3 linked regions of the Drosophila melanogaster genome follow. The protein of the gene in region 1 interacts with the protein of each later gene in a pairwise test. Each region holds a gene or a part of one and is shown on either strand. Other genes may lie near its edges. The genes, in order: Prosalpha7, CG33672 and CG4707.

What was found.
Region 2: the proteins of Prosalpha7 (region 1) and CG33672 interact in a two-hybrid assay, tested with the Drosophila melanogaster proteins (one large-scale study listed by BioGRID).
Region 3: the proteins of Prosalpha7 (region 1) and CG4707 interact in a two-hybrid assay, tested with the Drosophila melanogaster proteins (one large-scale study listed by BioGRID).

The regions. Positions count from the first base shown.
Region 1 is NT_033778.4:9,846,136-9,849,517, forward strand, and holds Prosalpha7 (proteasome alpha7 subunit), read right to left. Parts: upstream 1,702-3,382; 5' UTR 1,583-1,701; coding exon 1,562-1,582; intron 1,504-1,561; coding exon 938-1,503; intron 771-937; coding exon 596-770; 3' UTR 501-595; downstream 1-500. Other genes in the region: Orc6 (origin recognition complex subunit 6), read right to left, coding at 1-138, 195-259; CG1671 (uncharacterized protein), read left to right, coding at 1,990-2,015, 2,075-3,382. UniProt on the Drosophila melanogaster protein: The proteasome is a multicatalytic proteinase complex which is characterized by its ability to cleave peptides with Arg, Phe, Tyr, Leu, and Glu adjacent to the leaving group at neutral or slightly basic pH.
Region 2 is NT_033778.4:12,633,585-12,637,768, forward strand, and holds CG33672 (uncharacterized protein), read right to left. Parts: upstream 2,558-4,184; 5' UTR 2,501-2,557; coding exon 2,240-2,500; 3' UTR 1,843-2,239; coding exon of another isoform or gene 670-1,842; 3' UTR 582-669; downstream 1-581. Other genes in the region: spt4, read left to right, coding at 93-161, 223-385, 452-570; Mvk (mevalonate kinase), read right to left, coding at 670-1,842; Iswi (imitation SWI), read left to right, coding at 3,359-3,406, 3,470-3,687, 3,755-4,009, 4,071-4,184.
Region 3 is NT_033778.4:24,604,046-24,608,568, forward strand, and holds CG4707 (uncharacterized protein), read right to left. Parts: upstream 2,979-4,523; 5' UTR 2,857-2,978; coding exon 2,740-2,856; intron 2,677-2,739; coding exon 1,403-2,676; intron 1,340-1,402; coding exon 949-1,339; intron 894-948; coding exon 654-893; 3' UTR 550-653; downstream 1-549. Other genes in the region: Samtor (S-adenosylmethionine sensor upstream of TORC1), read left to right, coding at 1-513; CG42360 (uncharacterized protein), read left to right, coding at 3,321-3,476; CG42361 (uncharacterized protein), read left to right, coding at 3,749-4,039, 4,098-4,216, 4,274-4,487.

The sequences.
Region 1 (3,382 bases):
GCCTGCTCCTTGTCGAAAGCGATCCCAATCATGCAGGAAGCGAGATCCGCACACAGCACTATCTTTCCGTACTCGTTGATCTGCAGAGGGACATTCGTGGAGCGCAGTTCCAGGAGGCGTACTAGTTCGGTGGTTTTCCTGAAAGGATTCGATCTTACTGGGTAAACCTTTAAAACTATTTATTTATCGCTTACTCTAGCACGTTTGGCTCCTCCCTTAGGCCCATTTTCGTAATTAACTGTTCTATTAAGGTAGTCATTGTAGTTATTAACAATAGACTGAAATTCCAGTCGTGCGTCGTTAAAACCAAAATAAAGTACAACAAATGGCGCGAAATGCATCAGCTGTGAGCGATAAGGTTTTTCTTTGTAGCAATCGAGGTTTAATAGCTGCAGGCACATTCAAAAGGAACCAGATCCGATAACCAGCGAGCCAATATATTTATATCGAACGATAACTATTAAAGAATGAGAGTATAAAAATATAAAAACCTTAAATTTCACCCGATTTTGTTTATTCATTTTGCGCTTTAGGGAAATATAAAATTAACATTATGTATGAGGCCCAGAATTAGATTCACTGGCACACAAACGAACTAGTGCGTCTCATTGTCGCTGTCTTCGTCCTTGTTGGCCGCATCGCCGGCTTTCCTCGCCTTCTCCGTCAGTTCTGAGGGATTTATGAGATGTAGGCCACCGGTTACCCTGCCCACCAAACCCATTTCGAAGCGGAAGTCCTTGTCCTTCAACTCGTCATGGACTTTGTAGATGCTAAGACATAGGATAGATATGTTAATTATGAATAAAAACCTAGATTCTAAGTGCAATAGATGTCCCAAAAATGCTTCCTATTGTCAGAGCAAGTAAGTTTCCACTCGGAACTAGGATAAAGCCCGCCCGATTTTTGAAACAGTCCCTTTTTTTTGCTGTAAACGTACATTTCACCAGCGCTCTCCACCAATTCGTCGGTCCTCATATCCATCTTGAGCTTCTCCATCTCAGTCTTGGCCAGCTGCTTGGCCTTGCCGCTGGCGCAGGCGAAGTAACCGAAGGAGGAGCCGGACGGCTCGATCTTGTAGAGCTGTGGCCCCTCTACTTCGTCCCAGGAGGCGAGAATGATGGAAAGTCCGAAGGGGCGGACGGCACTGTACAGAGTGTAGGCGTGAACGTAGCCGGCGACTCGGTGGCACAGGTGTTTAAGCGGGATAGCCTGCTCAAATTGCTGTCTGTAGTTGGCTGCCTCCTGACGCGCAATGTCAGCCACAAAGTTTCCATCGGCCACCAAGCCGGCCACCGCCATTCCGATGTTCTTTTCGATGGTGAAGATGCGTCCGCCGGCGTCTGGTTCGTACAGTTTACTGGTGATGATCTTCTCCACGGCCAGCACCACGGCGTCCTTGCCCCGAATCCCGATTACGGTGCCGCTCTTCTCCACCGCCTTTGAGGCGTAGTCGATCTGGAAAACGCGGCCATCAGGCGAAAACTGCGAGGCCGACAAGTCGTACTGGAAGCGAGAGGGTGACGTTAGGGATCTGCAGATATGTAGTTCGCTGACCACTTACTCCAGTGCCAATAGTACTCATAGCGAAGACTTTGTGAAAATTTAAACAATTCAAACGCAAAAATTAGTTTAATTCCTTGGGTCGAATGCGACGATGATTTGACGGCTTTTACTTGGCTAGTGGTGGACAAAACAAAGGGGCCTATCGGTCAAGGAGGTTCGATAGTTTCGGAACGACTATCGTCAATAAAAACCAATCGTATACCAATCGCGATTTTTTCAGATAAAATTCGAATGATTAAAAATAAATCACCAATTCATGGTACTTTATTTATTTAGCACAGTTGAAGTTAATATCATTCTTTTCTTTTCTACTTATACATTTCGAATATCCCCTTACATGCTCTGTAAAGTAACATTTCGAACTAGTTCCGTTCATGTTCTGATCCGCGGCGCACGCGGTTTTTGTATTTATAAACAACGAAAATCATGCTGGCGGGTATCAGCGAGAAAAGGTAACATAAACTTAATAATTACCTGATGATTGCAAGACTACAACAATTTTAAAATCCAGCTATGCGGCGGAGGCCCGCTACACGAACTTCTACGCCGGCGGCGACATCGCCTGGAGCCCGAATGGCCATCATCTTTACTGCCTCAATGGCTCAGCTGTAAACCAGGTGGATGTGCAGACCTCCCAAATCCTAAATAGCTACGGCTTGTCTTCCCCGTCGGCGGATAACAAGAGGCCGGCGGAGCTGGACAATATCGATGTGGAGGAGGATACGATTACTTGCTTCGGGCTGTCACAGGAGCATCTGGTTACTGCCCATCGAAGTGGCCTGCTTAGGCTGTGGCAGCTGGACACTGGGAAGCTGGTGAAGCTGTGGAAGGCGCAGCACAAGGGACCAGTCATCCGAGTTGAGTTTAGTCCCTGCGGCAGGCTTATCTGCACCAGCGGCGGTGCAGATGCCACACTGAGGCTGTGGGACTACTCGAACAACAGCTGTCTGGGTGCCCTCAAGGATTTCCCTGGTCCCGCTTGGCTCCTCGTCTTTCATCCCAATGTGCTGCGCAAAGAGATCTACGCCGGAGGTTCGGATAACACTGTCTATGCCTGGAACTACGAGACGAAGACACTTGTGCACAAGATGCGAGGTCACCTGTCGCAAGTCACCGGCTTGAGCTTTAAGAGCAACGCGTCCGACTGCAATGAAATCGTGACTGTAAGCCGGGACAAGGTTATGATCGTGTGGCAATTGCAGGAGCAGTTGGAAAGCAAGCAGTTGAAGGTTCTTCCCTTGTACGATGAGCTTGAGGGAGTCGTGTACGCAGACGAGGGACAACTGATAATCGTGGCGAGCGGATCGGGCAAGCTGCAACAGGTCGACCCTAAATCTTGGAAGATCAGGGATATTCTTTCTCAATCTGATTTCCAAATTAGTAGACTGCTGCACTGCAGCGAGCTAAAACAGCTGGCCCTGGTCACTACAGAGCAGAATATTTTGGTCTACGACGTTGAAACCCTGGAACCCATTAAACACTTGGTGGGTTACAACGACGAGATCCTAGACATGTGCTTTATGGGCGAACACGATCGCTACCTGGCCGTTGCCACCAACAGCAAGCACTTCAAGCTGTACGACACGGAACACGACATGAATTGCAAGCTGATCGTGGGTCACTCGGATACGGTAATGTCCCTTGCTGCATCCCAAAATCTGCTGATTTCGGTGGGAAAGGACTGCAGCGTTCGGCTTTGGAGGCTTCAGCACGACAAAGATTGCTCGCTTGAGGCTCTGACTCAACAGGCCAACTGCCACACGTCCACTATCGGTTGCGTGGCCATGACGCACAACGGAGCTACTGGCTTTGCATCCGT
Region 2 (4,184 bases), 2.8 Mb from region 1:
AATTTTAGAGTACGGTCACTCTGTCAGTGTCGTGGCTTGGTTTTGCACGGATTTTGTATTTTTAGTTTTAAACCCATAATTGATAAGTAAATATGGCCTTTGACGCGATACCCAAGGATCTGCGAGGACTTCGCGCCTGCCTCGTTTGCTCCCTAGTGAAGGTGGGTTATATTTTGCCCAGACTCGACACACATTTTCATTGAAATCATTTATCGCCCGCAGAGTTTTGATCAATTTGAGACTGATGGCTGTGAAAACTGCGAGGAGTTCCTGCGAATGAAAAACAACAAGGACAATGTCTATGATCACACTAGCAACAACTTTGACGGAATTATTGCCCTAACTACGCCCACCGACTCCTGGGTGGCCAAGTGGCAAAGATTGTGTAAGGCCTGAATGACTTCCGTTCCAAAAGGGTATTACTGATATATTTGAAATCATTTTCCTTTAGCCCGCTTTACTCGTGGTATCTATGCCATTTCTGTATCCGGAACACTGCCGCAGTCTACCTTACGTGACATGAAGAATCGTGGAATTGTCTACAAATCTCGGGACAGAAGTCAACGATAAACAAACAGATTGCCGTACAAAATACATGTATAAATCTTTATTCTTTAATTTATAACAAAACCACGAATACATACAATAGCAATACAAAACGAAACCGCATCAGTCATCCAGCGAACTAACGCGCAATCCCTCGCCGCCGGCAGTCGTAACATGAACACCAAAACCCGCCGATTCGAGCTCCTCTTTAAGCTTCCAGTAGACCTCGTTGCACTCGTAGTTCTCTGGAAGCAGAACGATGACATAGCCACCTGCGCCGGCGCCCGTCAGCTTTGAAAAGAAGCCACGCTTAAAAGCGATGGTGAAGATTTGCTCCAGTTTCGGGTGCGACACTCCGATAGCCTTCAACAGATCATTGTTGATCTGGAACAGGCGTTCAAGTTGCTCGAATTTCGAGCTATCGTCTTGGGCGTTGCCAAAGCTTTCGTAGAGTGGAACGGCGGCGGCAACAAGCTCCTCGCAAGCCTGCCAAATGGCCTCGATGAGCTGCGGAAAGGCATCTCCCAGATGACGAACCTTGGCCACAATGTCGGCGGTGCTGCGACTCACACGACTGTCCACCAGCAGGATGTTTAGTGGTTTCTGGATCTTCAGCGACTGGAAGCCCTGGCCCTTGACATACCGCAACATTCCGCCGTAGGTGCATACAGTGTTGTCCAGACCCGAGGGCGTGCCATGATTAACACGCTCCGATTCATAAGCCCAGGACGAGATCAACGCCTGGTTTGCCTCCGACAAGTAGCTGTCTCTATCAAAGTGTCCGGCCAAAATGAGAAATGTCGTGGCCAAAGCTGCTCCGAAAGAGGCGGAACTGCCCAAACCCGCACCCACGGTTAGCTGGCTGTCTACCTGCACCTGGAAACCGGTTTGCAGCGTCAGTTTCTTGTCGCCGGGTGCGGAGAGTACAGCGCCGGCCAGCAAATAGTATATGGAGATGAATGCCCGCTGGGTGTGCTGCTTCGGTGCATTGCCTCCGGATCGTTCAAGTTGTTTGGACACCTCTGCGCGGACGGCTTCCAACAGATTGGCCGTGCTATCTGATGGGTATTTACTCCTAAATTCAGCCAAAAATCCATTGAACTCCGGCAACTGGATCTCCAGTGTGCAGTTAAGGGCCTCCAGTTGAAAACTTGCCACCTGGCTGTCCTCCAGCTGCCGAAATCTCAGAGTAGTGCCCAAACCCACTACGGCGGCGAGGGCGGGACGATGATAGACCACGGCGTGTTCGCCATGGAGTATGACCTTGCCCGGAGAATGGACCTGGAACTTGAGCATTGTTCTTGATGATCTCCGTGTATTGTGTGTTCTGTATTCCGTTTGGCTATGGCTTTATCGGTTTATCAGCTGTTTCGAATTGTAATGCTAATGCCTTTCGAGTGGACGACCTGCGACAAGTAGTTAAACTTTTATGGCTGTATTTCTTTATGTAACTTATGCATTTAGTGGATCATTTGCGTTGTTTATTCGGTAACTCCTATTTCTGGCTGCCGATTCCTGTGCTTTCCCTTTCACTTTCTTTGTGCGACTGGCGTTTTTCGGCTTGTTCGTCTCTTCGATCGGAAAGCGCAACCATCAGCAAAACGAACAACAGGTTTTTGCGGCTAGTGTTTGCTGTTGTTGTATCGCTCGTGTATATGTATGTGTGTTGTTGGTTTTTTTTTATTCGGTACTACTATTGGGCTTTCACTTTCTCCCACTCTTCGGGTGTGTAGGATTTCTGGGAGAATGCATGGATTTCTTTCAGTTCTTCGGCAAGCGTTGAGTTAACTAATCTATGCTTCTGGAGAAGGGTCTTGCCGCTGAAGGCTGGCGATACGATTACGGCGCTGAACTTGCCGCCACAGCCGTCTGATTCGTCCGTAACACTCACGTACTCCGTCTGCAGTTCCCGTTTGAGCTTCTCCTCGAGGTACTTTGAGTCGTATTTACTCATTTTGGATGGTTTTTTTTTCAAACGAAACGAGGTGATGGAGTGGTTGTGTGACCGTATTGGGCTTCAGGCAAAAACAGGTTTTCCATAAGCCGGGTGGTAGTTTTTCTATCTGCGCTGACCTTGGCCACACCTAGCACCATTTTAAATGTTCTTTTTCGGGGGGTTTCTTGCGATATATCTATTAAATACTTTAATATGGGGGTTGTCTAAGTAATTTAACAGATTTTGTCTTTGTTCATATAGTTTGGGGCAGCCATTCAAGTCTAAAACGATGTAGTACATATTGTCATATTTAGATTCAGTTTCCACCACAGGGCTTATTTCTAAAATATTATGAGACCCCATTAGACTTTTCGATTCCTGCTATATTCCATCATCTCAAACTTAAACATTAGGCAATAATTTTTAAACAAACGCAAACAATTTAAAAAGATAACCTATTTGATTAATCAGAATAACGGCTTTGTCTAAAACTAATAATAACGGCACACGGCCAGTGCTGCCATTCATAGTAATCCATCAAAACTATCGATAGTTCGTATTCTCGATTTGTTTGCCGCCACCGTCGCTGCCGCAGCCAACTTCGCGCATTCATCGCATAATCTAGCGATAGCACGCGCAGATTTCCCACCATTCATTAAAAAAAATCGCATGTAATTATTTACAATTTGTTTAAGCGAAACAAACATTGTTTTGTGTAAATTGCCTTTTATTTATATACTGAAAGTATAACTAACAGGTTGCACACTCGATTTTCAGTTCACATTAAACGACACCAGTGTGCAGCACGCTTGATTGGCGAGGGGAAATTTGTGGAAAAATTAAGTTCATTTAGAGACAGACGCCGGCATTGCAAATATGTCCAAAACAGATACAGCTGCCGTGGAGGCAACCGAAGAGAACTCGGTAAGTTAATATACAGCAGGCTTTGTCTAAGGACTTCTATACATATATTCTGAACTCTGCCAGAACGAGACGACTTCAGATGCGGCCACCAGTTCATCCGGTGAAAAGGAGGCTGAGTTCGACAACAAAATCGAGGCTGATCGCAGTAGGCGCTTTGATTTCCTGCTAAAGCAGACGGAGATATTCACCCACTTCATGACTAACAGCGCTAAGAGTCCCACGAAGCCTAAGGGTAGACCCAAGAAGATCAAAGACAAGGACAAGGAAAAGGATGTGGCCGAGTGAGTTAAACTCCCCCTATAAAAAAGCCAACTACTTTATCTATTGGTGTACTTTTGTATTAAACAGTCATCGTCATCGCAAGACAGAGCAGGAGGAGGATGAGGAGTTGCTGGCGGAAGACTCGGCCACCAAGGAGATCTTTCGCTTCGATGCCTCACCCGCCTACATCAAAAGTGGAGAGATGCGTGACTACCAGATTCGCGGTCTTAACTGGATGATTTCGCTTTACGAAAATGGTATCAATGGAATTCTGGCCGATGAAATGGGTCTAGGAAAGACCCTGCAGACCATATCTCTGCTGGGTTACCTCAAGCATTTCAAGTGAGTTTTCATAAACATCTATTGTTTTAAAGAAATCTCTAAATACCATATTTGCGTGCAGAAATCAAGCTGGACCACACATCGTCATCGTGCCAAAGTCAACGCTTCAGAATTGGGTAAATGAGTTTAAAAAGTGGTGTCCTTCCCTCAGAGCCGTCTGCCTTATTGGTGACCA
Region 3 (4,523 bases), about 15 Mb from region 1:
AGCTGCTTCAATCCCTTTTCCAGTGCTCCGCACTTGGAGGTAACCGCCCTGGACTTGTGTCCCGCCACCGAAGATGTGCTGCAGGCGGATTTCCTCAAAGTGGAGGTGGTACCCGGAATACGAGAACCTGAGCTGGAGGAGGGCAGCGTAAGAAGGCTACCAGCAAGCCACTACGAGTGCGTCATTTTCAGTTTGCTACTGGAATACATGCCCAGCGCCGAGCAGAGACTACAGTGCTGCCTTCAGGCCTACGACCTGCTGCTGCCCGAGGGCATCCTTGTGCTCATCACACCGGACTCCCAACATGTTGGCAAAAACGCCCACCTCATGAAAAACTGGCGCTACTCCCTGGCCAGGATTGGACTGCTACGGGTACGCTTCGAGAAGTTGCCGCACATATCGTGCATGGTGTTCCGCAAGGCCATCAGCCGGGAGCTCTCACAGCACTGGGCGAGCATTCACCGGGAGGAGGGGATGTGCGAGGAAATTCGGATACCGCAGGACGATAGCTAGATAAGATTCAGCCCCCATAAATCGATGTAAATATGTCCACGTCTACTTATTTATGGCTTAACTTATCTGTGTTAAGTGCGAGTTAATAATAATGGTTGACGATTTATCTACTATCTATGGATGTCGTAAATGGACAAATGCTATTGCTTCTGTTCCGACTGTGGGAACAGCGCGCCGCTGGTCTGGCGCTTCTTCATCGCTGTGGTGGCGCCCTGCGAAATCTTCATGATGTTCGGCGGGAGCGGTTTCTTGCGATCCGCCTCCCACTCGGCTCGGTGGAGCCGCTGACGGTGCTTGTACATGTTGGCGTTGGAAAAGAACGTCATGGGGCAGTTAGGACAGGTGTACAGCACCTCTCCGGTGTGCGTTGATGTGTGCTCCTGTAAATTAGGTGTCGAATACTTAGATTTCTCTGTAAGTGAGCCCCACACTTACCCTCAGATCCTGTGGACGCTTAAATGCCTTTTCGCACATCCCGCACTTGAACTTTCGCTCACAGAGGTGGTTGTGGTAGATGTGGCGCTTCAGGGCTCGGGAATTGGTGGATGTCTTGTTGCAGATATGACAGCGGTGCTCGTCGCCCGGCGGCTCGTGTACCGTTTTCATGTGCTGCTTTAGTCCGGACAAGTGGCGCAGCCAGGTGCCGCAGATCTCGCACTGCACGGGATCGGGTTTTGGACGCGGTTTCTCGGAATGTTCAAGCTCGTGATGCTTTTTGAGATTCGTTTGTGAACGTAGCGTCTTGCCACACTTATCGCAGATGATGGCCGCTTCCGGGTCGTGCATGTAACGCAAGTGCTCTTTCAGTTTGCGTTCCGTAGGAATCCTGAAAGCATTAAGGGATTACTTGGGGGGTTGCTCATATGCCTCATACCTGATGGACAATTACTTCTTGTTGCACTCCGGACAAGAGTATTTGAACTCGGATTTCGGGACATGCTTGGAAACGTCATGATACTCCATGGCCGCCTTGGTTGTGAAGCTCTTGGGGCACTTCTCGCACTGGTAGATCCGCTTCTCCTTCGGCTCCGCCTTGACCTCCGGGTTTGTGTGTGTCTGCTCGTGGACCTCCAGGGCGCGGGAGTCCTGGAATACCCGCCCGCACTGAGAGCACATAAAGTGATCTGGGTTCTTGTGGACCAAGACGTGCTCGGCCAAAGCCTTGCGCAGGTGGAACTTTCTCCCGCAGCATTCGATGTAGCCAGATTCGATGTTGTGGGAAACGCGTTGATGGCGTCGCATGTCCGCAAAGTTCTGCACCAGCAGATTGCACAGAGAGCACGGAAACTTTTTGAAGAACTGCAGGATAATCTCATCGTACTCGTCTTGCTGGAGCTTCCTCCGTTCAATCTCCTCCCGACTCAGACGAACGGGTGGAACCAGTGGCTTTTCCCTTTTTCGGTACTTCTTAGGTTTCACCACAACCCGCTTGGGAATCTCAGCGTAACGTTCCTCAGGCTCTATGTCCGGCAGGCTGTGGTCGGAATCCTCTCCACTGCTCTCACTGGAGGAACTGGAGCTGTCGTCAGTGCCCAAGACAGCCTCGGGAGCCACGAACTCCATGTCATTGTTATCCCTGGCATTTTCTTCGCCATCTTCGGAGTCCAGTTCCTTCTTTGGGGAAGGAGCCGATTCCGGCTTAGCTTTGGGTGGCCGTCCTCTTCTTGCGCTCCTTCGTAGCTGGCGTCCCTTGTTCGCTTCGCTGTTCTTTGCGGGTCCAACTGAACTTCTCTTTGAATCCGAGTTTAAAAAATCGGCCAGAGGTGCATCCGAGTCACTATCCACTGGCAGCTCGTTTTTAATGCGCCGCTTCGAGTGTGGTGAGCCTTCGTTTGGGACACCCAACCGTTTCGGAGCTGTTCTGATTTCCGTTTTAACTGGGTCTTCCAAGAGTTCCACCTTGGGCAGGGGTTCTAGTTCGTTCACCTCCACCTTGACCTCACTGGGCGCAAAAAAGGCCTCCGCCAACGCGTCCAACTCCACAGAATATAGCGGATTAATGATGGCCTCCTCTGTCTGACCGCAAAATTCGATGGGTTCGCTTTTGGAATCGCTGCTCCGCTGCCGGTGCAGGCAGGAGACGCGCTGGTGAAACTCCTCGAAGCTGCTAACGCAGTTCCAGCACTCCCGACAGACCTCAGCATCACCGCCAGCCGTAAGAACCTGTGGATGGCGAAGAGTTCGGTTTGGTTTATCCAAAACTTGCGATTATGGCGCAGAGCTTACCTCGGAGAACGCGAAGTGCTTGTGGATGGTCGCCCTAATGTTCAGACGGACGCCTTCCTCGGATTGTAGGCCGTAGCCAGCATTGCTACTGTCCAGGCAGAGCACACAGACAGTCATGACGAAACCGGATGCACTGGCTGAGTCCTAATCCTGCTTCATTTCCACACAAAGTTTTTGTTTACGATTTTGCAAAAATTTGTTTTCCAAAGCAAAGCAGGGTTGACAGGGGCGTGCATGAAGAGCTGGTGAGCCGATAGTATCGAGACAAGCAGAATAATCATTAGTGAAACTGAAAAACAATTTGATGTGCTGATCTTTGTATTGTATTAAAGCAATTTCAATTTTGGGCGAATTATATAATTTAATATATTAATGCAAGAAATTTATATTAACTGTACAATGTAGTTACACCCTAACGCCTTTTAGATTGCCCCCTCGCACAGTGGAAAGGGCCTCGTGCTTGAAAAAAATACCAAAACATAACGCACATTGCGGTATCAGCTGTTTCCCATAGCTTTGTTGAGTCGATAAAGATCAGAGTTTTAACCATTTAATGCATTATTCAGAAGCGATTGCCCCGAATGAGCGAAACCAATAAAAACAAGGATCCCACGGGGACCAGTCTGAAGAAGCAACCTTGGCACAAGCGCGGATCGGCCTCTGCAATGGCCTCAAATATCTTGTTGCAGCTGGCGGCCGAGGATCCCCAAAGGGACGCTTATCCTAAGGACACGGTGGTAAGTTGCCTGTTTTATAAATGAAATCCATTTTTGCGACAATATCAAGCCCGCGTCGGCGGCACGCGCAGTTTCTGTTTTCCCGCGAGTGGTAACCAAGTGGTGGTAGGGGCTTCTTTGGGCAGTGCGCAATCGCCAGCGCCCTGCACCCCACATTCCCATCGAATAGTGAAAAGTTCCAGAAAGACCAGCTCCAGCCAACTGAATCACTGCTGCCGAAATCAGCAAGTCCGAATCCAAGAGGCCAAAGTATCACCTACAACCCACCAAGTATGGAGAAGATCTGGAAGAAGGTGTGCGAGCACCACGATGTGCCCGAGCAGGTGGCCAACGAGTGGTTCGCCCGCATTCAGCAGCACCTGAGCTCCGAGGATCCCGCTCGCGCCTACCACAATTGGGAGGAGATGATGCGGCGCAAGGAGCCGCACTTGGCGGGCGTGGCCAATCCCAACATTGTGCTGGCCGCCTTCTTCCAGTACTACCACTTCGATGGTAACCGCAGCTGTGCGGAGAAGAACTGCGAGGTCTTTGAGGAGTTTTGCAATGATGCCGTCATCGAGGATGTGAGTAGGCGTGCGGTGTAACTAAACCTCTATATTCGGCGTGCTCTACCTTAAACAGGACCATGCAAAAAGCCTGGTATGTAATTTGCTGGGGCGCAAGACCCCGGAGAACCAGTTGACCTGGTGCCATGACGACGAGGCCAACTTGCTGCAGGACGTAGACCTGGTGGTCCTAGCGTGAGTATTTGTGCAATCATTGTCCGTGTATTTCAAAACCCATTTACACTACTAAAGTGCTTCGCCGGAGGAGTACAAGCACTATACAACTCTCCTTCGCTCGGAGTACGCCAATCTCGACGATGCCACCTACAAGGCCATGCGCATCAAGGTGCTGGAGACCCTGCTGATGATTCCCTCCATCTACGCCACTGGAGACTACCACGACAAGTACGAAGAGCTAGCCCGCGCCAACATACGCAACGAGATCAGCGAGCTGAAGAAGCAGTAAATCAGAGTTGGAGGACCAGGATGTAACGGGGCTGCT